Linked DNA regions of Xenopus tropicalis. The protein of the gene in region 1 interacts with the protein of each later gene in a pairwise test. Links are inferred from orthologs where the notes say so. Each region holds a gene or a part of one and is shown in the gene's direction. Other genes may lie near its edges.

Region 1 (7,322 bases):
GTAACACACAAAATGGCGGACCATAATCATAAAATGGCGGCTGCGCAGTGGGAGGGGCAATACTGCGCAATGGGTGGAGCATAACACAGGGGCATTATGGGTACTACTCAAAATTGAGTCTCAAAATGCCCGCTGCGCAGTGGGCGGGGCTAAATGGTGGCTCAACATGGCCATAATGCACAGTGGGCGGGGGTAACTGGTCGTCTTGTCTATAGACACACCCATAGCTCCGCCCACCTGTCAAGTTGACGTTTTAAATGCCTATACACTACTCTTATCTCTAGTGTTTACCCCTAGGTAAGGTGGGTTAGGGTTCAAGTATGGCTTGACCATTGCAGGTTTGGGTGTGGCTCGGACTGGGGAATAACATTCTTCTGCTCCCGAACTTTCCCTGTCTTGGAACCTAAGGCAGAAGCAGAAGTAGCGTACAGAGCAGAAAGATGTGGGTACAGGTTGGGTACGGGTCAAACAATGGCAACATTGTGTGGGTTAGTGTCGGTGCAGGTTGAGTTTCTCCTGACCCACCCAACACTAGTCCCAATCCTGTGTATAATCCATTTGCCACCTGTTTATTTTCTGGATCTTGACCATGCCCCCTGCTGGCTGGCTGTCACCACTACAGTAGGACTATGGGAAGTAATTGATTGTGACCAGGCAGCAAGTGAATAAATGAGACTAACAAAACTGTTATAAATGCTATACATGTGTTTCTTTTACTGTTCCTTTTTAAAACTAACAGCCAGCGACTTAAATGGCCATCTGAATTCTCTCTGTGTGCACTTTTGCAGAGCAGCAGCACAAAGTCAGAGAGGAAAGCACAGTGAAGCCGTAATGGACTGCGAGAAAGCCATATGCATTGATCCCAAGTACAGCAAAGCCTATGGAAGAATGGGGTATGAGAGCTACAGAACATTAGCTTGTGATTCCTGTGGGTCTGTGGTAGCACAGGGTGTGTGTGAGCTTGCACTTACTCACAGTACATATATTACAGGGACATGCCTCTAATACCTTTATTATTAATATTATCATGCAGGCGTGCATTGGTTGCTATGTCTAGGTACAAAGAAGCTATTGAAAGCTACCAGAAAGCCCTGGATCTAGATCCTGAAAATGAATCATATAAAATGAATTTGAAACTAGCAGAACAGAAGATGAGGCAGATCCCAAGCCCTGTAAGTAACTCCCTTACTCAGTGTATAATGATGATGCCTGCTATCAGCCAATACTATAATAACCCTTTCTTGCTTTATTTCTTGTAGATCAGCACTGGATGGGGCTTTGATATGGCCAGCCTGATGAACAACCCTGCATTTGTGAGCATGGTAAGATACATTAAAGGGCAAGTACAATCTGGGCTCAGCAGACTCAAGTCATAAGACTGGGGTACATGTAACTTGGTGCATGCCATAATAGGTTCTAATTTCATGATCCATAGATATCAAGGGATTCTACATAAATACAAAGGCTTGTATAGGAGGGCGTGTTTGGTGACTTTAATTGGACTAAGGGGACCTAAAATGGAGATGGATGTAGAAGTATCTGTAGGTAATATTCTCATGTATAAAGCAATGCCAACTGCAGCAGCTAGAAACGGATGCAACCTGCAGCAGCTAGAAACGGATGCAACCTGCAGCAGCTAGAAACGAATGCAACCTGCAGCAGCTAGAAACGGCTTAATACAATCCTGACTCTCAATATGAGAATGTCACTCTTTTAAATAAACCAATTCAGATCCCAACCTTAAACATTCCATACGGATTTGGTTTCCTGCATGCAGAAACATTTATAGATGTATAAATCCAGGAAAGGGCGACTAACAACGAAGGGAAAGAAGATCTCACTTATAAACATAGGAGGTTGGTCTATATAAGAAGAAAATGCATAAACTCTTTGCTTGGCCTACATTGTTACAGTAGACTCGGTTGAATAAATGGCTTTATAAGCTAGTACTCTCCAATACCCTGCCCCTGTTATTTGTGATGCTCCCAAGGTCGGGGCAAAGATTGGAAAATAGCAACTGGGTCTCTTTAATATCAGTAGCCTTGTATCTTTTCACTTTATAAAAAGGCAGATAAAGCCTGCTGATATAAATGGAATGTATCTGTATAATTGATTATTCTAAATAATCAATAGTACTTGTATTTTGCAATTCCTTCCAGGCAGCCAGCTTGATGCGGGATCCCCAAGTACAACAGCTGTGAGTATATGCATCGAGTGGGTTATGAAGCTATCAGTTTAAGCTAGATCACTTTGTGTAAGGGCAACTAAACCTCCGAGGTATAGGCTTATATTGACAATATTAATGCACGGAGCTTCTGTGCCAGTTCCCAGATACATAAATCCTATATATACTAAGTTTTGCCCCAATTTTCTGCCATTTATATCATACTGCCTGCCGGCTTGCCTGCATTCCCTCTCTCTGATGATGCCAAGGGCATGCCTAAATTACCATGTTTACATCATGGAGCATCAGCCTGGGCCAAAACACTGCACAGATGCTAAGCCCTATGGGTCGGAAAGGAAATGGTGCCCACAAGCCAGAAGGTCTGCGCAGCAGCAGATAATGGTGTAACTGAAGCATTACAGCAGCCCCAAGCATTAAAAGTGACTATAAGGGCAAGGGTACCCAGGGCGTTTTTAAGTTACATAGTTACATAGTTACATAGGGTTGAAAAAAGACCATTGTCCATCAAGTTCAACCCATCCGAGTAAACCCAGCACACAACCTATACTAACCAATCTATACACTCACATACATAAACTATATATATACAACCAGTAATACTAACTGTAGATATTAGTATCACAATAGCCTTGGATATTCTGCTTGTTCAAAAACTCATCCAGGCCCCTCTTAAAGGCATTAACAGAGTCTGCCATTACCACATCACTAGGAAGGGCATTCCACAGCCTCACTGCCCTCACCGTGAAAAACCACCTACGCTGCTTCAAATGGAAGCTCTGTTCCTCTAATCTATAGGGGTGACCTCTGGTGCGCTGATTGTTTTTATGGGAAAAAAGAACATCCCCCAACTGCCTATAATCCCCTCTAATGTACTTGTACAGAGTAATCATGTCCCCTCGCAAGCGCCTCTTTTCCAGAGAAAACAACCCCAACCTCGACAGTCTAACCTCATAGCTTAAATCTTCCATCCCCTTTACCAGTTTAGTTGCACGTCTCTGCACTCTCTCCAGCTCATTAATATCCTTCTTAAGGACTGGAGCCCAAAACTGCACTGCATACTCAAGGTGAGGCCTTACCAGGGACCTATAAAGCGGCAAAAATATGTTCTCATCCCTTGAGTCAATGCCCTTTTTTATACAAGACAGCACTTTATTTGCTGTAGTAGCCACAGAATGACACTGCCTGGAATTAGACAACTTGTGATCTACAAAAACCCCTAGATCCTTCTCCATTAAGGATGCCCCCAACACACTACCATTCAGTAGATAGTTTGCGTTTATATTATTCCTACCAAAGTGCATAACTTTGCACTTGTCAACATTGAACCTCATTTTCCAGTTTGCTGCCCAGTTTTCCAATTTTGTCAAATCGCTCTGCAAAGCGGCAGCATCCTGCATGGAACTTATAGTTTTGCACAATTTAGTGTCATCAGCAAAAATAGAAACAGTACTCTCTATGCCCACCTCCAGGTCATTAATAAACAAGTTAAAAAGCAAAGGCCCAAGGACTGACCCCTGCGGTACTCCACTAACCACACTGGCCCAATTAGAAAATGTTCCATTTACCACCACTCTTTGTACTCTATCCTTCAGCCAGTTTTCTATCCAATTACAAATATTATGTTCTAGGCCAATATTCCTCAAATGCGTTTTTTAAAAATGCAAATTGGAGTGTACACATACACATAGGAAGCTCCAGCATGGGCCCTGTATATTATCTGCCTCCCTGTAGGCTCCATGCTGGATCTTTATTGCCGCCTTACTCATTACAGCACCAGGTACCTCCACATGGAGGATATTGTACAGCACTGTACAGGGCAAGAATGATGGCACCAGTAGCAAAGAAGCTCCCAGGCAGCCAGAATTCTCTGAAGTTTTAATTCTGAGGGTGGCACAGCAGTGAGGGATAATGCAGAGCGTGACAGAATAATGCAGAGGGTACAGCAGGGTGTTTGTGCATTGCAGGATGTCTGGCATGATGTCAAATGCAGCAGTCGGACCCGCTGCGGGTGTTGGTGGATTAACAGACCTCTCAAGTCTAATACAGGCGTAAGTAGTTGCTTTATATGCTGTAGACGCTTACTGATAACATGTTCCTTACAAACAGTAGGGAGAATGGACAAGAAATAAGTAGTCGCCTGTTTCATGCCCTAACATTATATTTAGCTTGGGCCCGATACCAAGTAGCAAGTTCAATCCAATAACAAGGATGGGATAAAAACAGCAATAGCATGGAGTCAGCAGTGGCTTAAAGGAACAGTAACACTAAAAAAATGAAAGAGCTTTAAAGTAATAAATATATAATATACTGTTGCCCTGCACTGGTAAAACTGGTGTGTTTGCTACAGTAACACTACTATAATTTATATAATAAGCTGCTGTGTAGCCATGGGGGCAGCCATTCAAGCTGGAAAAAAGGAGAAAAGGCACAGGTTACATAGCAGATAGCAGATAACCTCTGTAGAATACAATAGTGTTTTATCTGTTATCTGCTATGTGCCTGTGCCTTTTCTCCATTGAATGGCTGCCCCCGGGGCTACACAGCAGCTTATTTATATAAATTATAGTAGACTTTCTGAAGTAAACACACAAATTTTACCAGTGCAGGGCAACAGCACATTATATTTTAGTTACTTTTATACACTTTCATTTTTTGGTGTTACTGTTCACCAGGGCAATAGTACATACTATATTAATTACTTTGATTTACTTTGATACACTTTCATTTGTTGGTGTTACTGTTCCTTTTAGACAGGACTAGCCCTTCAAAAGTCTTTATTGCAGAGGTGCAAAGTTTTGGGGCAAAGTGACTTTGCCCCAAAACGTTGCACCTCCGCAATAAAGACTTTTGAAGGGCTAGTCCCGTTTGCAGATGAGTGCCAGTGCTTTTTTTGCTATTTGGATTTTTGGGAGGGTGCCGATCCCCGCCAGCAGTGTGCACCAAGCGCTGAAATTTGGTGGAGTTAAGGGTGTGCGAGGAAGGTCTTTTTGTTCGTTTACTGTTCCTTTTAGACCCTGGGCTGCTGCTCCCCTTGTCTGTAAAACATGGCAGGCAGGGTCCTGTTTGAGTGAGTGTTGCACCTCCATCCTGTCTGATGCCCCAGTGGCTGCCCTGGGCGGGGAACATGTACAATAGAGGAAAATCCAAACTTTTACTCAGCATTCCATGCACATTGGACAGGACTGCCTCAAGGTATCCCCAGACAAGAGAAAAGATTTCAGGGTGGCACCCGGGCCCAGTGCATGTTTCAGTGAAGAGACTCCTTGTCTGAAGTTAGGGATTTTTATCACTGGGGTACCCCAAAGTTGCTTTTTATTATTTAATGAGCGCACTTTCTGCGTGTTTAGATAAATGTGCCCCCTATGTGAAAGTGTATGAAGCCACAGTAATGATTTAAGGGCTTAAGTACATGGGAGATTTTAGTCAGATTTTGTGGGTCAGATTTTATCTGAGCTTGAAATTTGTAGAATCCCCTAAATCTGATCCTCACAGCTAAAAAGTAACGATGGATCAGATAAAGTTGGGTGTTGGGTTTTGTTCCTGCATCTTCATCCAACAGTCAGTCAGTGTATTTCAATGAGAAAAAAGGATATTTACAAGAGCATCAGATTTTATCTTGTCAGATGCAGCACAGCGTTCCCTTCAGGCAAGCGGGTCACATCGGATAGCAAATGTTCCATGTAGTTTACACATCAGATTTTCCAATCAGTCCCGTTATTTTTAATCCCATGCAACTATATCCGAATTTTAGTTGTAACTTTGGGGCCATAAGCAGTTACCGTGCTGAGTAGCCATGAAGCTGCTGCCATTGCCTGGGTTATAACACGTGGTGCTTTTTATTAGGGGGCAGCAGTTTGCTCAGCAGATCCAGCAGCAGAACCCAGATCTGATACAGCAACTGAGGAACCATGTGCGGAGCAGGTCATTCAGCGGCACAACAGAGGAGCACTCTTAAGGCAGAGCAGGCACGTCATCATTTCCACATTTGGGTATTTGGCTAATTCCTATGATATTTGCTAGATTTTATCTGTGCCTTCAAAAATGCTACCATCAGGCTTTCTATTGCTGATTCACAGGACTTACTCTTACAGTCATTTACCTGAGTCGGATGACAGGATATACACAATATACAATTTATGGTACCAGGCTGTTCGGTAATTAATTCACATTGTATGGTGACATAGACACCAGTGCATTCTGCATCTCAGTTGATTGATTATTAAGTAATCAGCTTCTGTGACAGATGTCAATTTCTGCTACAGTTTACATAACTGTGCACTGAGCATGTACAGTGTCACTGACACTTAAAAGGGAGCCTAACAAGATTCAAGATGGGGAGTTGCAGTGAACACATTTGAAAGCCTGGATCATTAACTAATACAGGTATCGGACCCCTTATCCGGAAACCCATTATTCAGAAAGCTCCGAATTACGGAAAGCCTGTCTCCCATAGACTCCATTATAATCAAATAATTAGGATTTTTAAAATTGATTTCCTTTTTCTCTGTAATAATAAAACTGTACCTTGTATTTGATCCTAACTAAGATATAATTAATCCTTATTGGATGCAAAACAATCCTATTGGATTTAATTAATGTTTTATTGATTTTTTAGTAGACTTAAGGTATGAAGATCCAAATTACGGAAAGACCCCTTATCTGGAATACCCTTGGTCCCGAGCATTCTGGATAACGGGTCCTTTACCTGTATCACTAATATAGGGCTGCTGAATGTTCACTATATAAACTACAGCACTTCTAGCCATATTCCTTTTTAGGTCAGTTATTTATCAATGGAAACAAATGCCACCAACTGCATAGAGTGGAAAACCTTCCTTTGCAAGCAGCAAAGGGAGGAGCAATTTCATACTAATACCCTTGGGTTTGAAATGACAGGCATGTGCCCAGATACACTATACGGCCAGAAGTATCTCTATGTTTATAGAAGCAGGAGACATTTTCAAAAATCAGCAAGGTGTCCTGTGGTACTTAGCAAAATAAAGCAATTTATTTGTTTTGTTAGTTATGTGTCCAGAAATCTTACATAGGCTGCTGTATATTTCCTCCAGAAGGCCAGTTATTATTTACAATTTATATTCATTACAAGTCAATTCCCTTCAGTAGTCGACTGTATAGG
Region 2 (8,056 bases), on another chromosome or scaffold:
GGATTGATGATTGCTGCTATCTATTATAGCGGATTTTTACAAGTGTTTTTAGATGTATATGTTTTTTATGAAATGGTTTCTTACTTATGGTCTCTACTGTAAGTGTTGAGAAGGTCTCTGGCTGTTTACAGGGATAACTTATTATTATTAAAGCCATAGAGGACACCCACCTCAGAGGGAGAGCCATCCAGACCATCATCTTTATTTGTTAAGCCAGCTGGTTTTAGGTAGTTCCATAGAGCTTGTCTAAGTTGACGAGAGATGAGACTAGGTCAGCTAGTTAAGAAGTTTGGACTCCACAGAGAAGATAGTGGGGCCAACACTACAGCGGGCACTCCTCTAGTACAGGGTTAGGACTACTATAGTCCTTGTAAACTGACTCTTTGTGCAAAACACCCACTAGCTGAGGAGGGCCCCTGTGAAGAAAAGATGCAGGGAGACACTGTGCACTGTTTTCTTGTACTGTTCCGTAATATCATTTGACACTCTGAATAACTAAGGAGTGTTGAAAAGAAGCTAATATCAACCAACTGTGAATAAAGTGTTCCTGCGTTTAGTTGTAGAACCATATGAAAGAACCTTCAGTTCAAGGGTAATCATGTTGGCTAGGGTCGTATACATGCAATAGCCTTTAGACTTATGTCACACAAAGGGCTTAGTAGCTGCTGGTTGTTCTGTACATACGGTTTTGGGTTCTCCCAGCATCAGCAATCATAGAAAGAAAATCTCAAGAAATGTTTGCATGGGAGGCAAAAAAACATACAACTTAAAGGACAATGAAAGGTTAATATAAATTAAAAGTAAGTCTAAAGGCATTCTTTTTAAGTACTTACTGCAAATCTAAATTCCCAGATCCCTGCTTGCTTCTCTGAGATATGGTGCTGGCAGCCTACAGCAGTGTGAAGACTACAGTGACATCACTGAAATCTCTTTTCCCTTCCTGTAGGTTGCCAGCGGCAGCCTTCCTATTCTCTGAGCATGTAACTTGATCCTGTCTGCTGTTCTGAGCTACACATGCCCACCAGCCAATCAGAAGCGGATCTGGCAGAGGGGAGGGGGGAGGGAATGAAACACATGTGCAGTATGAAGCAAGGAGGGAAAGGAAGGGAGAATACCTGTTTAGAGATGGCTGCCTCTTCTAGAAAATGTGATGTAAGTGTGACTGAGTAAATATTTGATTAGGTGAGCCAAAAGTGTGGCGTTTTTACTAAACAATAAGAGGACTATTGGGCAGTATGCTTTTTAAATTTTGACTTGCATTCTCCTTTAACTTAACTTTCTAGCAAAACATCACAATGCCTGTATTGTGTTGTTGACCTGTTAAATGTGCCATTTTAAAGTGGTAACTTGCAGGTTCCGATACAAAACCTGTAAAATTGTTTCTTGCTAGATTTAATAGTAAACAGCAAAACTTTCTCACACTCTCTGCTTGCCTTTTGCCCCTGTTAATACCCTGATATGTTTTGCAGTCAACCTTTTATATAATTTTTCAATATTTACAAATGGTTTATACCAGCTCACCATACATAGGCACATACACATTTCATTTTGGTGCATTTGTTGGTCTGAGGTTGTTGGTCCCATGAATGAAAAATATTTCTAAAGTCTCCATAACCAACAGAATACATTTCACCAATACATTCTGTTCAATTAAAAATTAAAGATGCACAGAGCCCTGATAGAATATAACAACCTGCCTCCTTTCTTTATGTTTTCTGATACTGATTTGTTAAGATATGCAAATAGCGGAAATTTATGGGTAAGGCGTTAAGCCAAACAAAGCAATATACTGTGTAGGAGGACATGATGTACGGGAGGAAATAAAAGGCAGAAATAGCAGTGCCATTCTGCAATGCATTAATAAAATGAAATTGTGTGCAGAAGACAAAGATGCAGAGGGATGTTCAGTGACAGGATGACAGAAAATAAATGCCACTATCTAACAGCAGCAGGCGTTGAATGATGGGAGACTTGCTGAGGGTGGGTGTCAGTGTTAAATCAGGGCACCCAAAGGGAGAGAAGCTATACAGAATGTATACAATTAATGTGTGCCATTTTAGTAGTAGTGTTTCTAGAAATGATTGTGCATGTAGATATACTGAGTGCCACAGGAGCCCCTATACCCCCAGGGCCCAGGACCTGCTCCCAGTGTCGGACTGGCCCACCAGGATACCAGGAAAACTCCCGGTGGCCCCAGGTGTCAGTGGGCCGTCCTGCTCCTAACCATTTGGCATGTTTCATAGTCATTCCCTATTTCTGAAGGAAAACAAAGTAGAGAAATAGATGGAGGAATAAATCCTAGCATGTAAATAAAAGAGACTAGGAGAATAAGGAGGTTGAGTGAGGAAAAGGGGGGAAAAATAGTTTGGAGAGTGGGCCTATGGTCTTTTCTGGTGGGCCCCTGTGGTCCCAGTCCCACACTGTCTGCTGCCAATATAGTTTTGCCCTCCTAGTGGTCCTATATATCCCCAGACTGCCTGTAAAGCTAGGGGTGTTCTTCGGCATCATTTAGGGTTCGAAAGGTTTGACTTTTACTTTGTAACTAAAATACCCTCTCCCCACCTGTAGGAAACTCTTAATAACCCTACCATGCCTCATGGTAACATATCAAATCATTGCATATATGATCTAAAATGACTGCTAATCTGAGGCGCACAAATTGTGTTGCACAGGTGCCCGGTGAATCACTAAATTACACTTATAATGGGATATACTGGGCAACGGTGCAGAAGCCAGAGAAGGAAGACAGGCGCATAACAGCCGGCCCACAGCTTGCCGGGCGGTGCCACTGACAGACAGGAGAGGGAGGAGCTGAGCCCACAGACACCCAGCGCCCTGCACTCCTTGCATCTGCTCTCTCTGTACATGGAGCAGCAGTAGCGCCGCTAGGCAGAGCGACATCCCTACCGGAGTCCAGGGTTCAGCTCCAGTTTAGTGCCAGGAGGAAGGATACTATTGCCAGTGCCAGGAATTGGGCAGGTAAGAGGGCGCAGATCCTTGGAACCGAGCCATTTGGAGATTGAGGATGGCACTAGTGCTTAGGCGCTGTTACAGAAAGGCAAGCACCGCACAGCGTAATCATATATACATGTATAGTGGCGAGATATGTGGGGCAAGTAAGGAGAGCAGCTCAGAGCCGTGCCATGGGCGGGGAGGGGGGAGGTTATGAGAGGATACAGGGATGTGTATAGCAGGTCTGTCCCTTCCCTGCTGTCAGAACACACAGCCATGGAGGCTGCTGCGGGGATCCTACTCCTTACCCTGGATCCTCTCCAGCAGGAACAGCTCTGCCTGTATGTTCTTGTGCTGCTGGGATGGCAGGCTCAACCAGCCTCTCACACACATGAACAGATTATGTTATTGACATGTAAAACTGTTGTACACATTTCTTCTTTTGCAAGGTATATTCATGGGAAACATTTCATCTTTTGAGGGGGCAAGCAGAAGCCCTCAGCCAGTTGTACAATTATCCCAACTCTGAAGGCTAAAAATTGTAGTTTACCAACAACTGAAGGATTGCAAGTTAGATAGATACATCAGTAATGCCTCCTATGTATCTATCTATCATCTATCTATCTATCTATCTATCTATCTATCATCATCTGTCATCCTTCTATCTTTCTATATGTGTCTAAATAACCATTTGTCTTAATGCATATGCATTTTGTAAGTATATATTGCATTTTGTAAGTATATATATATATATATTCATTCTGTTTATATGTCTTCCCTTGTCTAATATACTGTGATCTATTCTATGACCATTGTAACCAAAATATCACCTTGACTTATTTGTCATTTCCAGTGAAATATGCCTTTTTGTGCATTATGCAGCTAAAAAAAAGGGGCAGATTTTCCTAAATTAAATGTCATCGCATTTTCTGTTTAGACTTAAGAAATGTTGCCAAACAGCTGCTGCCTTGTGTTTCACATGCACAAATCCCAGGGGTCATTTTCTTTCCTTTATTTTTTGGCTAGGCAGATATATTTGGTGGCTCAGTAATGAGGAGGGGGTGATTCGTCCCTGCTGGAGAAGGTGGTTTCTATCTACAGAGTGCTTCTTTGGATTCATAGGGTTTTTTTTTCATTTTTAAGATATTTTATTTTCAATAAGACTATTTACATTTAGACTACAATCATGTAGTATCTCTTTAATTGAGCGCAAGGGAGCGTGATAAGAGCAATGAACCGTCCTGTAAAGCTGTGACAATGCCATGCTGAAAAGAGAGACAAACACATTTTTTTCATAGCATTCATATAATTATAAAAATATTTCCCCATTTAAAATGTGAAGTGGTTAAGTTGTGACAGATGTATTATTAGCAGCAGGAGCCAAAAATCAATGCTTTGGCGTTACACAAGAAACTATTGTATTCCACCTTAGTATTTGAATAAAAATAGGTGGGAGGACCCTTTAATTATAGTCTGACAGGGCCCAATTCAGATATGTCAGATGGAGCTGCATGCTGGAATGAAAATGTTATTTTCCATTGTCTTTTAACAGCAGATGAAAAGCAAAATGGAGGATTCTCCAGATGGAGCAGGGCTGTAGTTTTGCACATATATCTCTTTTTCTGTAAATCCGATCTGGTCAGAACTGTTTTGGCTTCCATTGTATTGCTCGGAAGCTGCCTGCATGTTAAAGTAATAATGCATTCATGCACTTGGGTTTTTGGTGGCCAAAGGACAGGATGCGCGGGACGCACAAGCAATTATTTCAGCCTGGATGGACTTTCATGTCTTTGGGGTGGTGCTGTGGGATAATTTGATGCTGGATTTTAGGAACTCACATCTCTAATGCATAATGCATGGGACTTACAAAACGACCATCACACAGGAAACCCTTTTACAGCCAAGTCTACAATTAACCCCTTTAGCATTTATTATTCTTTTTTGTTTTTTTTTTTAATTAATAATTAGTTTGTATTTATAATTTTATTATTTTTAATATCAGAAATTCTAAGTATCAGGGACCTTATTTGCCATTGATATGAGGTTTGGGAAAAAATATCTTTGTTTGGCCACTGTTATTCGTAATGAAAAGAGAAGCCCTGCATTAACACAGTGCTGGTCTGACTCTTATATATTTTTTTTATAAGAAAGCTATAAAGAAAAGTAAAATGCATGGGCCCAGAGAACATTATTTATGTGTTTATTATATTTTAGATGTATTTATTTATGTGGGTTTTTAGGTCGCTTTTCTGCACAGCATTCCTTCACACCAATGAAAGTGTGCCCCTGGTGGCCAAATGATTATGGAAAATTTAAAAATACTAGCCTTTTCTCTATAGGTAAAGATTCTATTATGTGAAATGCTTGGGACCTGGGCTTTTCCAGATAAGGGGTCTATCTGTAATTTGGAGTACTGTTTCCTAAGGTATCTAGAAAACACTGAAACATGCTACTGTACGTTGTTACTGTGCAATACGGTCTATCATCCTGCTGCATGAGTTATACAAAGTGCAACTGTAATCTCAGTGTATTTATATAAAACACCAGCATAATATAGATTTCATATGAAAGATACAGAAATGCCTGTTACTCTTGTTTGTTTTACCACCCACTTGGTATGCAAGCCCAAATTGCCATTAAAGCTTGTTAAGAAAATAAAAATCCTTAGGACCCAATTTCCTGATTTTTGATGATACAGCAGCCAGAAATTCCCAGCACAAGTTTATCAAGTAAGGTTGCTGCAAGCATGCATGCCTTGGTGGGCCTAAATTCTCAGGTGTCTCTAATACTAAAATATGGCATCCTAAAGGGCAACTAATATATTATTAAAGATGGCTGATCTTCTTTACTATCGTCAGTGATGCTTATCTAGCATGTGACCCATCCATGCTTATTATAATTGTATTAACCCTGACTGTTTGGAGACAGGAATTGATTTGCACAAAGACTGTTGTAACTGCACAAAGATATATATATAAAAAAAGGTAAAAAGTGTAGCCACTAATATCTAATGTGAAATTCCAAGTTTCAGCTTAATTCTCTATGGTATCTGACCACTTAGTTTGCAGCAGGGTTGGATACATTACAAGGTACACCATGCACTGGAGACATGCTGTATTGGTAATTTACATTTTTATTGTACCCAGTGCTTTATTTAGGCATCGGACCTAAGTGTACCCCCAAGCCTGCGATCTGCGCATGTGTGTGACGTCACATCCAGTTGTGTGTGACGTCACTTCCAGCAAAACTGCATACCTATGAGCTAGGTACCACTCACCCCCCCAGCTGGAGAGATTTTTTTCCTTGAAAAATATTTATTTTATCATGTAGGTAACTGAGGGCTACCCGTTTAACTGCTACCCTAAGCACGGCCCCTTGGGTGCCTTTATATAAATCTGTCCCATGAATAACATAAATGTTTGTTTGATACAATTTTATAGCTACATGTATGGCCAGCTTAAATCTATCTCCCATAGAGTCCATTTTATGCAAATAATTCAAATTTTTAAAAATGATTTAATTTTTCTGTGTAATAATAAAACATAACCTTGTACTTTATGGTAACTACTGTAAGCTGCATGCATCCATGGCAATTGCAAAACAATCCTGCTGGGTTTATTTAATGTTTAAATGTTATGTAATAAAAAGCTTCCAGGAGCAGTAACCTATAGCAATGAATTAGAAGGTAAAATCACCTGCCTAAAACCAAACTTATTGATTGCTATGGGTAACTGCTCCTGAGCAAATTAGTGCCATTTATTAAATATAGGGGCAAAGGTATGGAGATCTAGATTAGGAAAATAACCCCAGATCCCAAGCATTCTAGTCTATAGATCCTATTTATGTACAGCTATATGCAAAGGAAAAGGGTTTTTTAAGCCAGGCAAATATTGTAGAACTTTCTAATTTAGGGATTGCTCTCCAGATGCTGAAGTACATTTCCAGCTCTCCTGCCAGCTGCCAGCTAGTAATTGTACATCACCAACAACTACAACTACCACCATCTTGCCCTACAATGCCAAGCACAGTCCAGCCCCAGATACTATTATCTTAGCTACTACCTGCACTGTGATTCTTGCATAGCTAATATGCAGTGCTGTGTGGATGCTAGCCAGATATTTCCTATCTAAAGCTGTCAATCTGCATGTCCATCCATGCACAAGACCCTAGGTAAATTCTCTTCCTTGGAGCCTCATAAATACAGTTCAGAAAAAGCACATTTCTTGCACCTTACTAGAATGACAGTCAATTCAGCTCAATCTAAATCTGCTGCAGTCTTGGTATAGAAAAGACCTTGCCCAGCACCTGATAATTATATTACTCTGGCCGACACATCCAGTTCTCTCTCCTGCGATGGCAATGAAAAATGCTTGCAATTTTCAAGCTTATAGGAAATATAAAGGATAATTCAGGAGACTTGTTCCCAGTGATACATTTTATTTGGATAATTTGGAGCCAGAGCTCTTGGACGAGGAGACTAACCAGCCTGTGTTGTTCTTAGAAGACAGATGAGGGAGGATGTTCTATTTTTGTTTAAGCTCAATTAACTTTCCAGAGAACAATCATAGGAACATTGTATTTTTTTCTTTAATTAGATCATGAATATGTATTTATTACCATTTTTGTTTTACTAGGAGTAATGATCATGTTTCAGAATATAGCATGTGCTGCAATCTGTCCATACCACTGTGCTTGTATGTTACTTGGCTGTCTGTCAGTGTACTCAATTCTTAACTCTATAATTACATGAATTTATGACTGTATACTTCCTTTACACATTCTGTATTCTGTTCATACTACCTTAGACATTTACTTTAGTAATAATCTTTTATAATTAGCCCTCAAGAGCTTCATTTTAGGCCCTCGAGCTATAGCTAAACTACAATTCTAATGGCAGACTTGCAAACGGCAATCTTGCTATATAACTAAAGGTGGCCACACACGTGGCGATTTGCGATTTTTCGTGCGACCATCGGTTGCAAGAAAGATCGTTCAATCGGCCACTAACGTTCAGGGCTGAAACGGCAGATAAGGAGGTAGAAAAAATAGGATTTCTACCTCCTTCTGCCAATTCAGCCCTGAAGGCAGACTTTGCTCAGGCGCC
Region 3 (8,058 bases), on another chromosome or scaffold:
TAGTGAGCATTTCATGGTGTCGGTAGGTTCCCGTGTGAGGAGAGCCAGTAGCCACTTACCTAGCTTAAAGGGCCTACAGACAGCACGCGGTAAGGAAGATGGCGAGTGCGGGAGAGGGGAGGGCCGTAACGTACGTAGAAGGACGGGCAAGTTCAGCTCACGTTGACGTATCCGTCATCAACGAGCGATGTCATTTGTAGGTTGTAGTTTAATCTGTGGCGTTGTTCCGGGCTTGGTGGTTGCATAAAGAAGCGTTGAAGTTGCATGGCTAATTATTGTGCCAGTAGTCCAAATATCTTTTTCTCCATCTTTATTTAAAACTGCATGCCTGCCAGTGTACCTCAGCATCCTTTAAAAATACTGGCTAGGTGACAACCCTTTGCTAGATCGTGCTACCCCTTGTCACTGAAAGAGAATTCTCTCAAATACAACATGGGTAAATACATCTAAACTAGCAAACTGCAAAGCATTCCTAAAGTTGACAGTTTTAAAGACATATCTGGAAATGACCTAAAGCTTGCACTTTGCAGTACTAGGGGTAGGCTGAATAGTTTGATGATGTACATAGGTTTACCAAAATATCTGGCATGCACAGGAATTCTGATCCGGAAAAAGATGACCAAAAGGAGAACAAAAAATAAAAGGGCAAAACAGTTATTGTTTCTACATTTTGTAAACTGTGTAATCAGAAAGGGGGTATTAGCATTTAAAAATGATCATTGCAAAGAGAAGCCTGGATTTGGCAAGCACACTGAGATACTAGTAGCAGCTACTTTTTCATGCCTACTAAACTCCAGAAAATACATTGTGATAGAAAGTACTAAAAATTGGCTCTGTTAAAACACATGTAAAGAAAATTATCAGTAAATGTCTATTTTAGGGCAGTGACACACATGGAGATTAGTCGCCCGAGATAAATCTTCGTTACCACAGTCGACTAATCTCCCTGTAATGCCATCCTACCGGCAAGATCATAGCGACTAATCTCCCTGTCTGCCACTGCCCTTAGTAGCTGCTACTATGAGCTCTGCGTGTCTTCACCATAATACTAAATAGCCAGTTGGGCTTTAGGGCAGTGGCACACGAGATTTGTTGCCTACAATAAATCTTCACTTTTGCGGGCAACTAATCTCCCCGACATGCCATAAATAGCCCGAAATTTCCTTGTGAGGCAACTTCGGGTGACTGAAGCGATGCATATACCATCCCACCAGCAAATGACATTCTTGCCAGTGGGATGGCATGTTGAAGAGATTAGTCACCTGCAATAGAGAAGATTTATTGCGGCAGACTAATCTCCCCGTGTGCCGCTGCCTTTATGAGCAGACACCCACACAACATGTTTACAAAAATGGAGACAAGACATCATGTGTTTCTTTTGATAGAGGACTCAGTGCAGCGTTTCTGTGAGTGCTTATGGCTGTATTTACATAGACCTTTCTGATAAAGCCGATTTTTTTGCGCTTGCGCGACTTTTTTCTTACGCTGTGGTAAAGACCCATTGGAGGAAAAACACTGGACCCATAATCATATATTTCAGGGATACATGGATACTAAATAGCACTACAATTATTATTTTATTAACGTGTATTTATAAAGTGCAAATATTTTCTGCATTGTTGTCAAATAGGGGTGTTTACATTGAGCATACAGATTTACATGGCATGCAACCAATAACTGATACAAGAAGTTGAGGGCACTATAATTTGAGATAACAATAAACCTGACTTACTTAAAAGTAAATAAATATATACTAAGTATAACCTAAAAAAAAAGTATACACCTTCTAAATATATGTGAAGTACCTGCATGAAAAAACCCCTACACCTGTCACAAATATAAAAACTCATCCAAACTGTTTTACAAATAGGTATACTTTTTTAACATGGTTAATGGTTAGAGCAATCTCTCATCAATTCAGTCATGGGTGCTGATTTACTAATCCCCGAATCCGAATCCCGAATGGGAAAAAATCGGATTGGAAACAAACATTTTGCGATTTTTCGTAAATTGTTGTGACTTTTTCGTAGCCATTATGATTTGCTCGTAAATTGTTGCGACTTTTTCGTAGCCATTACGACTTGATCGTAAATTGTTGTGACTTTTTCATAGCCATTACGACTTGCTTGTATATTGTCACGACTTTTTCGTATTGAGCGCTCGTAAACGGCGGGCAAACCTTTGAGACTGCATGATTTTGGAAGCCTCCCATAGGACTTAATGGCACTCTGCAGCTCCAACCTGGCCCAAGGAAAGTCTAGATACTGAAGCTTGAATGAATCCGAAACTTTCATACTCGGCACGACAGCTACGAAAAAGTCGCTACAATTTACGAGCAAGTCGTAATGGCTACGAAAAAGCCGCAACAATTTACGAGCAAGTCGTAATGGCTACGAAAAAGTCGCGGCAATTTACGAGCAAGTCGTAATGGCTACGAAAAAGTTGCGACAATTTACGAGCAAGTCGTAATGGCTACAAAAAAGTCACGACAATTTACGAAAAAATCGCAAAATACCGATCATTACGAAAAAAACGCATTCGGACGTTCGTGGATTAGTAAATGTGCCCCATGATGTTTGGTAGTTTGACATTCCAAAGTGTTAAATCAGTGGTGCAATAGTATTGCAGCATGTTACACTAGGGAAGTTGCAAATACTAATATTAGAAGCCAGAAGCCGAAGATTCTTTTTTTTTTGGGGGGGGGGGGGCTGGCAAGCTTGGTAGGCATAGTTGTCATGTCAAGAACCACACAAGCATTTACGGAAAGGATGTAAAGCAGAGTTAAAAGTGCCGCCTGAAAGTAGATTATACGACATCTTTAAAGTGACATAGGGCCCAAGCGACATGAGTCTACTTTGCCTTCTTCTAATCAAAGTTTATTCTGTCACTACCTGCTAATTCCTGTGACCTTCCTGGATTAGGAACTTCCGCCCTCCAAGCATCCTCACTTCCTGTTAGTAGAAGCGCCTATGACGAGCTGCAGCGTCACGTGGTATAATACATCCATCTGGCTGATAGGAGGTACACGTACCTGAAGTGCAAGTTCCTTCATTTGTGCCTGCCGACTCGGGTGGTTGCTGAGAATGCGGTACCTTAATGCAGCTGGGGTAGCTGTGCTCTCTGTGTGTCTTCTCCTGTTTCTTGTCCCTGCGTCTGCCGACACAGGACTTGGTCGAGGTAACTCTCTCTCTGGCTCTGTGAAAATGTGCATGTGCTTGTGTTTTTCTGGGAATTTTGGAGTGTAACGTGGGGCGGTGTGTAGTGTCCTTATTAAAGGAAAACTGGTCTTGGATGTCAGATGTGGGTAGTCAACGGTAGAGAGTTTCACGACTATTAAGGTTATTTTTCCGGGATTATGTGTGTCACATATGGTGTGACCATTAAACAGAAAATGCATTCATTTGATTTGTAATATGTACTCCATAGTATAAAGCACAGCTTAGTTTGTGAAAAAAAAATATTTAATTATTTTAGGATTTTCAAGTCCCCCTTATGCAGGGCTGATTTATGCTGCTCCTCTGCTGGATTTCTTTAAGAAATATGTAAAAACAATTTAAGTGGTTACATTTGCAGATTTGTTGGTGATACTGATTATATTTTACCCCATCCCCCTGTATTTATCTTTGTTAAATAAACAGAATTTTGCAGCACATCCTAAAATTTTTCTCTCCCCACCTGGTAATTGTAAGTAATTTTCTAATTTACATTTATTACAGTGTTTGTTATTATCCATCAGTACAACTGCTGTTTACAGCAGTGTATCTCTGTCCCTTTCTGTTCTCTTCCCTGATGGTTCTGACGTTTGTAACAATGTAGCAGAAGCCTGCTGATTAACAGACCTGGAAAGAAGCATTCAAGGCTGGCTTCTGCCACACTGATCTAGAACCAGCATGCAATTAGGAGAAATAAACATACTTGGGGTCATTTATGAAATCTGGGCAAATTTGCCCGTGGGCAGTAACCCATAGCAAACAATCAGTGATTGCCTTTTTACTGCCAGCTGCAGGTAGAACAATGAATGCAACAATTTGGTTGCCATGGGTTACTGCACATGGGCAAATTTGCCCAGTGTTGATAAATAACCTCCACTGCCTTTAAATGAAAGCTCCACTAGGGAAAATATAGGTCAACACACTGTTCCACCATAAGTGTAATCCAGGCACCCACTGCCAAAACATTACTAAAAAGGAGGTGAGATAAAAATCATATAGAATGCTACTGGACCTAAAAGGAATACTGTCATGGGAAAACATGTTTCTATAGCAGAATACTGCATTGAAATCCGTCTTTCAAAAACGCGAACATATTTTTTTATATATTATTTTAACATTTAATCGTGACTTCGGAAACTGAAGCAATGCAAAGGGCTTTCCACCGGCGACTTCTATTGTTGCAGGTGGAAACCCTTTTCGGAACGGTTACTCGACCTCTACAGCAGCGATCTATTGCGGGTGAGTAAGTTGCTGCGTGGGGGCTTACCCTTAAGCATCAGGTCAGCAGGAAGTGAAGAGTGTCTGTGGCCCTCTGCTTCATTTCCTCTTCTGGCAGTGCACTGGCAGACATGGTGTATAAGAATATAACAATTCTAAATCCAACCTATATCCATAGTATCCATGAATATCGTTGGGATTAGCAATCTGCCATACACACCCCAGTAATCATAAAAAAACATTTTATGCAATGTCATTGGAATGTGTATGGCCAGCTTAAGAGGCATTCAGGGTTAAAGGAGTACCAAAAATAAGCATTATAGAGATCTCAAATATGTGCAGAGCATTGTATCTCCAGCAGCCACACAGTACATTAATATCAATATTATCACGGCCAAACTCGTAAAGTCTTGTCTTATTTATAAGTAATTTTTCTTAAATGCTAAAGGGATTAACAGTTGATTATAGACACTTAATTTAATGTTTGTTTTTATGGTATGAGAAAACTGGTTCTACCATAGTTAATATGTCCTATTTGATCTGTAGTGTTTTGCAGCTGTGTGTGTACCATAATTTGTTTGCTGAAAAGGTCAATAACTTGGGTTTAGAGATATATATATATATGTATATGTGTGTGTGTGCACAGATATTTCAGTATATAGAAAAGTCACAAGCTGGCAGCACACTCAAGGTGAAAGAGAGCATCTAAATAAGGCAGATGCCATCCTGTCTGTCAGATTTAATTAACTTCTATAACACATAGGACTTATGTGTTTGCACTGTGGTGATTTATTAGTTCAACATTCATTTCATAGTAGTAGTGTTTCAGGTTTCTACAAAACCTGTCTGATGGTTTGGAAGTAAAGGTTACTGCGGATATGAAACAAAGAAGACAAACAAAGTTTTTCATTTAGTTGTATTAATGATCTATAGAGATTTTAATTATTAATTTTATGTAAATCGCAAGGTTGAAATAAGCTGTTATAGGGGTAGTGCCTTATATCACGCTGGCAATAAAGGGGTGAATAATTCTGGTAATGTCTTGCAGTAATGACATGAAATTGATAAAATAATGTATCAAAGTAAAGATAATCATATTGTGGTACAAAAGGCTCATGATTTATTTGCCATATAAAATAATCATCATATGTAGTAATTCTATCAGTCCCAAGTTCATAAACAGTCCAGCATATGCAGCAACATTCATGTTAACAGGCATGTTATTTAAACTTTTTATAACACATACAGTGCCTGATATTAAAATTGACCAGGACAGTGTTGGCTGTATCTCATTCATATAGTTTTTGGTTTTTTTTAAATGTCGCAGGATTTGGGGATCATATCCATTGGAGAACTCTGGAAGATGGGAAGAAGGAAGCAGCTGCTGGGTAAGTTTTTTGCTGGATCTCAGACCTGGAAAGTCATCCAAAGTTAGAGCCCCAAAGAACATTCCCTCTAAGCCCCATTTTCTTAAAGAACAGGGAAAGGTCAATTGATTACCTCACCCTTCCTGCCTCCCCATATGTTGTAGTCGTTGATAGCAGAATTGCTGTTTAACACATTTATCGGGATATCATATTGACCAATTCTTTCAGTCATTGCAGCCGCTATCTTGCATCCAGTTATATCGATTTATTCTTTGTCAGAAAAATTTCGTACACATACACGTCTTGCACTCCCTACTGAGCCTGTACATTTTATCTTCATTATGTGCTGTAATATGTGCACATTGACTCCGCTGTCCACTTTAGGTTATTCACACACAGGTGGCCAGACCAAATTGTCAATGCGTCAAAGAGCACAAATGAGGCAGCCAAAATATTTCAGTCATTATTTGCTAAAAGCCATGCAAATTAAAACAGTGGATGTTGAGGAGTAAAAACTGCCTAGTGAGTCAGCATTTTTGGCCTTTGGTTCACACTCCATTCCTAAACACTGTGTCGGTAAAATAATCACTTACAACCCACACATGACCACGAGAGGTCAGTTTGGTTAAAAGTAACCATTTTGGCATGTGTGGCATGTGTGCCCTTTTAAATGACAGATGACATATGTGAATGACATTGCTGGTTTGTGTGTATATTTGAATGTGTGTCTAATGTATTTTTTTTTTGCAGTGGCTTACCTCTTATGCTAGTGATCCACAAGACATGGTGTGGAGCCTGCAAAGGTAAATGACATTGAATTAAATAATATCTAATATTTGTGAGCACTAGTTTATTTGTGTCTGTACCCCCCTACTTAACATTCACATTGTTTTCAGAAACAGTATATCCTCTTTTTTTAACATTGGTGCAATGAATAGGCCTTTTGCTGAACATACATTTTGCCTGTTCCAAACTGGACAAAATTTGATAATAAAATTAAAGCCACATTTTACTTCATGATCCCAAAGAGCTAATTTATACTAACTGAAGTCCACTAAAGAGCCCACTGTATTACTACCCCCCTGCCCCAGCTACAGACTGTTATTGTTTTAGATAAAGAGTAGCTCATTACAAAGAGTCTTTTATTAGTGAGATTCTTTGGTGTTTGACTTTACTCTTTAGGGCTCTGGCACACGGGGAGATTAGTCGCCCGCAACAAATCTCCCTGTTCGCGGGCGACTAATCTCCCCGAAATGCCATCCCAACGGCGAAAATGTAAATCGCCGGTGGAATGGCATACGCGGCGGCGCGATTTCAATGAAATCTCAGTTTCCTCTCAAGGCAACTTCCGCGACTAATCTCCCCGTGTGCCAGAGCCCTTAAAATCAGGAAGTAGAATGTGGTTTTAGTTAGATTTTCAAGTTTTGTCCGTTTTAGAGTGTGGAATAACAAAAAACACAGATATTTCTTTCTTTTTGCATATTCTTTTAATTATGTTCAGCACAAGCTCTATTCATTGCACCATTGTGTAAAAAGGAGATATACTGTTCCTTTTAAAAAGTGGAGCACCAGCCCAAGGTAGGAGTTCAGCAATTATAGTCTACTCTGTGGTGTCTAACAAATTGGCACCCCCCCAATGATTTTTGTTTTCCTTCTCCTTTAAGGTCATTTGGCACCCATGGTTTAATCTGTGTTACCCCAGGTGACAAATCTCCCATAAATGCTTTCCTGCTGGCAGTAATGTAAATCAACAGTGGGAAAACTTGCACAACGCTTTGTTTTCCCAAAGTCACCCAAAGTTTTCTCGCGAGGCAACTTCGGAAAGCAGAAGTAACTTGTATGATTTACATTATTGTTGGTGGGAAAGCATGTTCATGGGATTTGTAGCATAGATTTAACCAAGAGGAACAAATCTCTCTGTGTGCAATTGGCCAAATTTGGGCCATTTTTTTTGCAGGATTTGTATTTGGTTGAATCCAAGAGCCTGTTTGAACCAAATCAGAAAAAAAGTACAAATTCTGCACGTGCCTCGCATGCATACCAGTGTTTCCGTCTTCATCTTTGGGATCTTCCACTTCTGGGTTTGGTTCATTATTTGCCCAAATCTATACCTAAGGATTCAAGGATTTGGCTGAATATTGAATTACCAGGTCAGGTGCATCTGTACATAAGAAACACACAAGCAACATGTGTGCATCATTGTTAAAGGAACTCTGTGATCGTATTTTTTTTTTTTTTATTTGTATTATATATATTTTTTT
Region 4 (8,030 bases), on another chromosome or scaffold:
ATAGGGCAGACAGAGTATGGCACATACAGGCAGCATAGGGCAAGCAGGGTATGGCACACTTAGGCAACATAGGGCAAGCAGAGTACAGCCTGTGTGTGGCTCACTCTGTGTGTGCCATACTCTGCCTGCCCTACCATGCCTGTGTGTGCCATACTCTGCCTGCCCTACTCTGCCTGTGTGTGCCATACTCTGCCTGCCCTATGCTGCCTGTGTGTCCCATACTCTGCCTGCCCTATGCTGCCTGTGTGTACCATACTCTGCCTGACCTATGCTGCCTGTGTGTTCATACTGTGCCTGCCCTATGCTGCCTGTGTGTGCCATGCTCTGCCTGCCCTACCCTGCCTGTGTGTGCTATACTCTGCCTGTCCTATGCTGTCTGTGTGTGCCATGCTCTGCCTACACTATGCTGCCTTTGTGTGCCATACACACAGGCAGCATAGGGTATGTAGTACATACAGTGACACAATGTTGTCACTGCTCCTACAGTCTGTATGAGGTGTGAACAGGTGAACAATGTGGGGGTTTACAGTCTGAGCCTGAGGTGTGAACAAGGCAGGGAGTGAACAATGCAAAGATTAAAAGGTGTGAACAGTACAGGGGATTACATGTTTTAACAATACAGGGACTTAAAGCTTAAATCTGAGGTGTGAGCAATGCAGGGGCCAGTTATTCTCAGTACTGATATCATTTAAAGCTTACACAAAGGTAAGCAGTCACAGCAGCCAGAAAGGTGGGGGGGCCACACAACGGGGGACAGATGGGCCTTTTACCTTCTTCTTCCAACTTTTTGTAGTTTTTAAATGGGGGTCACTGACCCCAGCAGCAAAAAAACTATTGCTCTGTGAGGCTACAGTTTTGTTGGCATTGTTACTTTTTGTAACTTTCCTTTCTATTCAGGCCCTCTCCTATTTATATACCAGTCTCTAGTAACCAAATTGCTATTGAAACTCCAAACTGGAGAGTTCCCGAAATGAAAAAAATAAAAAAACTATAATAAAAATAATAAAAAATGAAGGCCAAATGCAAATTGTCTCAGAATACCACTCTCTACATCATACTAAAAGTTATCTCAAAGGTGAACAGCCCCTGTAAATGGATTATTTTTACATAATACAGCTTTACCACTTCTTGTAGCAGCAGTCCTATCCCAAATGAGATACAGGTCCCTGTTCCCAGGGACAGATTCATGCCTAGGCTTACCTAGACTAAAGCCCAGAGGCCAAGTGTGATCAGGGGCATATCTAGCTTTTTTAAAAATGATTTCTCTTTCCCAATCTTTTAATATTCCTTTTTGTGTGCTCTGGGTCCGGTTGGGTGCACCAGGGAGAAGAAGGCAGGCAAGGCTTGCATCTTAGCTCTTTATGCTGGGTCGGGTTTGGCACGTGCCAGTGACATCACATGCCTAATCCGACTCGACTCAGAGAGCTTGGGTGCACACGCACCTGTATCTGCACACAGATTCACACACACACGCCTGGCTTGCCTTCTTCTCCCAGGTGCATCGTGACCCGACCTGGCCAAATAATTTTACTGTTAGTAATAGTTAATAATTTTAAATTATTTGTTGTAGATTTCTAAATTTTTGGGAGTCGGAATAACCTAGGAGAGGAGTCTGTGAAAAGTGTATTCACATCTTATTTATCCTCCAGTGCCTGTTCCACTGGCATGGTTTTCGTCTTTTTCTTTTGAGGGGGCTAAGGATATTGGCAGTGCACTGTATCTACATTACGACCTGAACATTGGAATGAAGATCGCCTTGAAAGTACAAGATGCACTCTACTACGTGTGGTTTTGTATAGAGCTGTGTGAAGAGCCAAATGCCATACAACTGATATAAGCAAAGTATTGGATGTTTGGACTTAGCAGACAGTCAGGATTGAGGGACAGCCTTGTAACATCTTATTTTGGTTCCCTATGCTTCGACTTGTGTAATATGTATCTGTACATATGTTAAATTGGTAAGCAGTACCAGTAACCACTTCCGACAGGGGCACATTCAAGCTATCAGTTTTGACTTTTTCAAAATACACAAACTTCAGCTGGCTTTATGCAGCCGTGCTGGCTTGAGTGATGATCCTAACAAAGTTGATACAAGGTTATGTGGGGGCCCCTGCAGGTTTAGTTGATGTCTTTTCCTTATTAAATTTTCTTTCCTGCCTCAATCGCATGTCAGATGGCAAGATGATCATTTTAGGCCAATACATGATCCAACCAGATGCCAACTCAGTCAAAAGTGACCAATCAGCAGTGACTATCTACCAATATATGGGCATTTTTTGATCTTTATATCCATCTTGCTAACCACAAAGAAATTTCTAATGGTTACAAATGTATAGAATAAGCAAACATCATTGGTGAGTTAACTGTACTATGTATTCCATATCAGAATGCATACTATGCTGACTGTCCCAGGCATTAGAATTTTAGACATTACAGGCAAGAAATGAATACAGTTTGTGAATGAAAGCCGACTCAGCAGCCATGCCAGTTTGATCCATTGCTGCTCAGTGAACAAACATAGTGTTTTTAGTGCGCTACAAAAGTTTCGAGATAGCAATGTCAACAAACACACTCTGGCATTTAGAAAATTAATCATTCGTCTGACAGATTAAATGTACTATACCTGCTCTCCCTCAGCTTTCGGAGACATTTACTTTTCTTGCCAGGGGAAATACGCCGCTGTTTTTCATGTAAGTGCCCTTTAAGATAAAAAATAAGTGTAAGAAATTGAAGACAAAAAAAAAAGTTTAAAGATAATTAAAAAGCGCCAAATAGCATAGTTTTGTTTTTACTTTTTTTATTAGCTCATTTCAAGTGTGCTCATTTAAATGAGGTAATTTACAAATATTGCTGTGACTACTGCAATCTGTGTAGTTTATGTTATTATATAATTAGGAGAGCACATGGAGTCCCTGAAACCTGACTCCAACTACTGTGTATAAATACTTTTGTTCTTTTAATAAATAAGCAAGATAAATATCATTAGTGCGCGGGGAAACAGTAGGAGAAAATGAAATAGTGTACCGTTCCCCCTGTGCGACATTTATTAGTTAAACCAGTATGGAATTTAGCACGCCAAGAATCATATTGTGTGTGGGCAGTGGAGGAAAATGATATTATGGTAATGTCTTCTGTAATGGAAGTTTTTCTATTTTAGAGCCCAAAAGAGTACTTTGTGTTACAATGAAAAGACTCTACCCAGGCGTGATCGTCGCCGTGACCCTTTGTGGAGTTTGGATAACTTGCAATGCCTCCAGGCTCTGGGGAGATGCTATTACAGAACTGGCTGTGGATCTGTCTCGGGCAATTCATTCAAGTTGCACAGAAGAAAACATCATTTTTTCTCCACTTGGAACTTCTTTAATTCTTGGAATGATAAAACTGGGAGCCAGAGGAGCAGCACTGAGTCAGATACAGCAAGCTTTAAAACTACAGGGAAATCAAGACAGTGAGTCTTTCTTTTATTGATCCCAAATCTATAATTCCTCCATGTTATTGTGCAGGTGAAATAAAACTAATCTGTGCTTGGTGATATGAACAGTATATTGAGTCCAGTCTCTCCAACACCAATGGGGTTAATGTCCAAAAAAATAAAGCAGAATAAAACAGACATGAAGGATGAAGGGGAAAGGTGGGAATATGTCTGTAACCCATTATGTCGTCCTATCATTTTTGTTCAGGATATCATTCATAGCTGAATGCATCCACAAATTGAAAGGGGAACTTCTCTATGCAGAACAAAGAACACTGTGTCCATGGAATACTTCCTTTGAATTGGCTTACTATATTCTAGCAATAACAGTTTATATGTCCTTATATTTTAGTTTTCTGTGGTGGCACTCAGGAGCCTTGCTAACTTTCTCAGATATCTGGGGATTGGGACTTTATGTCAACATCTATATTAGTTCACATTCAAGAAACTCAATGTTGTCTAAAATTGATACAAAGGAGTTGTGAGATTACACACTGAAATACTCAGTAACATCGCACTGATAAAGCTGCCATGTACAGTTACAATGTAAAAATACATGAAGATATAAATGGAAGAATAAGAAACTTTGCTTTGAAGAATAGGGTGTTAATAGATTGCTATCCTCCCTATGCAAACACTCTATTTAAGGTATAACAAGCCTTCCTATGTGAACAACCTTATTTAGGGGACTAACAGACCACATATATTTCGGTAGGTGCAGAGAGTTTGTTGTTGTAGCAAGGGGCAGTTTTGAAAAGTTGAAAACATAAGAACTGAAATAAAAATGGACTTTGGTATGTTTCCTGATGATCGATAGGAGAGTCTGCCATTCACATTGTAAAGCAGAGTTCCCCAACCGGTGGCTCGTTAGCAACATTTTGCTCACCAACCCCTTGGATGTTGCTCCCAGTGTCCCCAAACCAGGTAGTTATTTTCACATTCCTGACTTGGCGGCAAGTTTTGGTTGAATAAAAATGACGTTTACTACCACATGAAGCCTGTAAGCTGATAGTGTGGATAGAGACTACGTAATAGCCAATCTTAGCCCTTATTTGGCACCTCCATGAACTTTTATGATGCTTGTGTTGCTCTCCAAGTCTTTTTACATTTGACTGTGGCTCATAAGTAAAGCTGGCCATACACGCACCAATAATATCGTATCTGGCATGGGTCAGAACTGGCTTGGCACTTGGGCAGTCGCATCACTGGGCCATTGGGACAAGCACAAAGCTTTGCATGATGCAAATCCAAACAATTAGCCCACTGACATTGATGCTTGTTGCCAGTTTGTAGGTCCCATTCCCACTGGCCATTTTACACGTGGTGCTTCTATGCTCCTCTCTTGTATTAACCCTTGCCTGCCTGAACTCTGCCAGTTCTGACCTGTTTCCTGTTTATTGGTTTTGTGCTGTATTTACCCTTGCTGTGCCTCACCATGGACTTTCTTCTGCCTTCCTGTATTTAAACCTTTCTCTTAAGAGCTTCTTCCTTGATGCCTACTCCATGCACTAAGACCAGTGGCCCTAAGACATGCTGTGGTCCCCTGATGGTCGTGTCAGTATGATTAGTCAGTCAGTACTGGTTGTGACACACACAAACAAACATACATAAACAAGTTAAATTTCAATTCATTTTTTTTAATACAATATTTTTCTGTACTGTATCTATCTTCCTTTCCCATTTTATTATACAAACCCATTTTAACAGGGAAATGTTTACAAGGTTGGAATATCATGCTTACTCCTTGGTGGGGATTAATTAAAAACTTGCTCAAAAACAAATAACTTATTGTTCTCCTGTAGTTCTTATGGAAGCAGTTGTCGTTTAGCATAAAAATAACCCTGGGTACTTTTTTGTCACATTGTATAATATAATTGGAGGAAAAAGCCTGCTGGAAATGTCTCATGTCAAGGTGAGAGCAAGAAAACAAATTGTGTACTAGGTTTTAGATTGGAAAAGAGCATCCTACACCTTCGTTATGTTTATGCTGATCATTAAAAGGCACTAAAACACAAATCATTTTCTCTAGGTGAGGAGTTTTCTGAGCTAAAAACGCTTCTTGCTGTCATCTCTGAAGAAAATAAAGAATTTACATTTAATCTAGCAAATGCCCTCTACCTTCAAGAAGGATTTCAAGTGAAGGAGCAGTATCTCCATAGCAACAGGGATGTCTTCAACAGTGCAATAAAGCTGGTGGATTTCCAAGATGTAAAGGCTTCTGCTGAAACAATAAGTGAATGGGTGCAAAGGCAAACACATGGTAATCTCAACATTTTGCTCTGCTAAACTTGTCTTTGTAATTGGGCCCTTTTGTCAGATATTTTTTTAGCAAACGAAGTAGAAGTAAAATTACAAGACAACAGTAAATTGTTCATACAAGACAAACAATTACTGACAAAGTTGATGTATTATAAAGTTCTACAGAGGGGCAGGAGGGGAATTCATATTCAGGACGCGTAACAAAGAACATTTCCAAGTTTTATGTGTTTAAATCTAATAACCAGTAATTCTTAGAAAAAATATCTGAACTGAAACACCAGATAATAATGAAGTACTGTACATATAAACATGTTTTTGAGCTGGTTTGTAATTGCAATGCAAATGATGGGCGTTCTGACTTTTTTCTTTATATGACATGACAAAAAGACCCTCCTATTTGTAACTATCAGTTACTCACCCACTTAGATATTGAGCTAAACGGGGCAGGTACCTGCTGTGGCTGATTTATTGCCCACTCCATTTATTGCCCACCCTATAGGAGAGGTGCCAAAATGAATCTTTCCCCTGAAATACCCACCTAAGGTGGGCAATGTCAGGCTGACCAGTTATATGGCCCTAGGGCCAAACAATTGGATTACAATAACAGGACTACACAATACAGTGCCAAAGCATGCAAATCAACCCCCCCCCCCCCCCCCCACACAAACAGGAGCATCATTCTGGGGAATAAACCTAACGATTCTTTTCACTGGGATTGCCTAACATATTGGCACCCTCTTTAAATAGGGCTGTCTTTGGGTTCAGCTCTAGTCCTTGGTTTTCTTTTCAACTCAGAAACAAAGAGGACACGAAACATAAAAAATAACCAAGCTATAAATTCCTCAACATTAATAAACAAAATAAGTAATAGAAGTAAAAAAAAAAGGTTCCCTGTGACTGGCTGCAAGTCCTTTTCAACTGCAGTGAATCACTGAGCAGAAAATCCCTTGTGATTGCTAAAGAAATTTCCAAGCTAACACTTTTTAAACCAGAATTTTACACAGCTACATGTGTGTGAAATCTAAACTTAGCTTTGTGGGATGTTACATGGTATTAACGTGGTGTATAATGCTATATACATGATCCCAGGTTAAAAAAGAATGCAAATTAGCATTTGGAGCCAGCAAATATATGTACAGTTTTGTGTAATATACAGTACTGTAACACGGAGTTGAAAAGAATATGGATTTGCTACAGAATTACATGGAGTGAGTTTTCGTTCTAATACTCACATTACCTTCTGAGTGACTAAATAGCCTCCCTCCCACGCCCCTCAACTTAGAGCTATGATCTTCCATGAATATGTTCCAATTAGACTATTACTGCATAGTCCCACTGCCTCATCTGATGAATGTTTGTATTCGTAAAAGATTTTATTAAGTTTTATTGAATCATTTTGTACTGCAGTGTTCTGGAGGTATCACAACACATTCATCATAATGATCAAACTAAACATCAGTCATTATGAAATGCTAAGCCTGTAGGAATGTGCACACAGTATTGCTGAGTGCCCCATGTATGCTGTGGCAAGTTGAATTAGGATCTAATCAAAGGATTTTGACACCTTTTACAATCCCTGGTATCAATGTTGCCTCTAATTTCTTTTGTGCGCACTTTTTAAAACCATGCGTGCAGTTGTGTGCAGCACAAAATTGTGTGTTTTCACATGAAATTCTTTGGGCGCACCACAATTTATTGTGTGCACGTCTTAAAACTTGTGTGCTCGTGCACAAGTGCAAAGCTTAGAGGAAATATTGCCTGGTTTATTCCTGGCCTGACTCAATAAGGAGTGTTTCAAGGAGAGGTTGCTGTGAGCTTCCACAGCTGTATATCTGGCAGCAACCTCTGCTCATTAGTGCATTGTGCCTGGTATATTGGGTGGCTGTCCCACTAGAGTGGTTTGAAAAAATGATCTTGGGAACTTGGGAAGAAACACCAGGGATTTAAGCACTGTACATACAACTTAAAGGAACATTAACACTAAAAAATGAAAGTGTTATTAAAGTAAGTATGTATATATGTATGCATGTATGTATGTACTGTTGCCCTGCACTGGTAACACTAACCTGTTTGCTTCAGGAACACTACTGTAGTTTATATAAACAAAGCGGCTGTGTAGCAATGGAGGCAATTAAAATAGGCACAATGTCTCAGGGTAAATAGCGGACAACAGATAAGCTATGTAGAACACCATTACATTTTCCATAGCTCAGTAAGATTTCCCCTAAAATTACTCTCTACAGCCCCAGAATAACGAAGCTTCCTCCCGGCATCCAGATTTATTTTTCTGTATTATAGT

What was found.
Region 2: the proteins of sgtb (region 1) and rai2 interact in binary tests that used the Homo sapiens proteins (3 or more experiments, as listed by UniProt). The link is inferred for Xenopus tropicalis from reciprocal best matches to the Homo sapiens genes SGTB and RAI2.
Region 3: the proteins of sgtb (region 1) and txndc12 interact in binary tests that used the Homo sapiens proteins (3 or more experiments, as listed by UniProt). The two-hybrid records come from large-scale screens. The link is inferred for Xenopus tropicalis from reciprocal best matches to the Homo sapiens genes SGTB and TXNDC12.
Region 4: the proteins of sgtb (region 1) and serpini2 interact in binary tests that used the Homo sapiens proteins (3 or more experiments, as listed by UniProt). The two-hybrid records come from large-scale screens. The link is inferred for Xenopus tropicalis from reciprocal best matches to the Homo sapiens genes SGTB and SERPINI2.

What each region holds. Positions count from the first base shown.
Region 1 is NC_030677.2:187,755,588-187,762,909, forward strand, and holds part of sgtb (small glutamine-rich tetratricopeptide repeat-containing protein beta), read left to right. Parts: intron 1-788; coding exon 789-893; intron 894-1,033; coding exon 1,034-1,172; intron 1,173-1,259; coding exon 1,260-1,322; intron 1,323-2,159; coding exon 2,160-2,197; intron 2,198-4,149; coding exon 4,150-4,233; intron 4,234-6,028; coding exon 6,029-6,140; 3' UTR 6,141-6,150; exon of another isoform or gene 6,151-6,174; intron 6,175-7,322. UniProt on the Homo sapiens protein: Co-chaperone that binds directly to HSC70 and HSP70 and regulates their ATPase activity.
Region 2 is NC_030678.2:95,072,756-95,080,811, forward strand, and holds the start of rai2 (retinoic acid-induced protein 2), read left to right. Parts: upstream 1-2,752; 5' UTR 2,753-2,979; intron 2,980-8,056.
Region 3 is NC_030680.2:96,545,487-96,553,544, reverse strand, and holds the start of txndc12 (thioredoxin domain-containing protein 12), read left to right. Parts: upstream 1-2,951; 5' UTR 2,952-3,083; coding exon 3,084-3,177; intron 3,178-5,757; coding exon 5,758-5,818; intron 5,819-6,547; coding exon 6,548-6,600; intron 6,601-8,058. UniProt on the Homo sapiens protein: Protein-disulfide reductase of the endoplasmic reticulum that promotes disulfide bond formation in client proteins through its thiol-disulfide oxidase activity.
Region 4 is NC_030681.2:112,974,832-112,982,861, forward strand, and holds the start of serpini2 (serpin I2), read left to right. Parts: upstream 1-2,674; 5' UTR 2,675-2,690; intron 2,691-3,157; 5' UTR 3,158-3,183; coding exon 3,184-3,448; intron 3,449-5,501; coding exon 5,502-5,732; intron 5,733-8,030.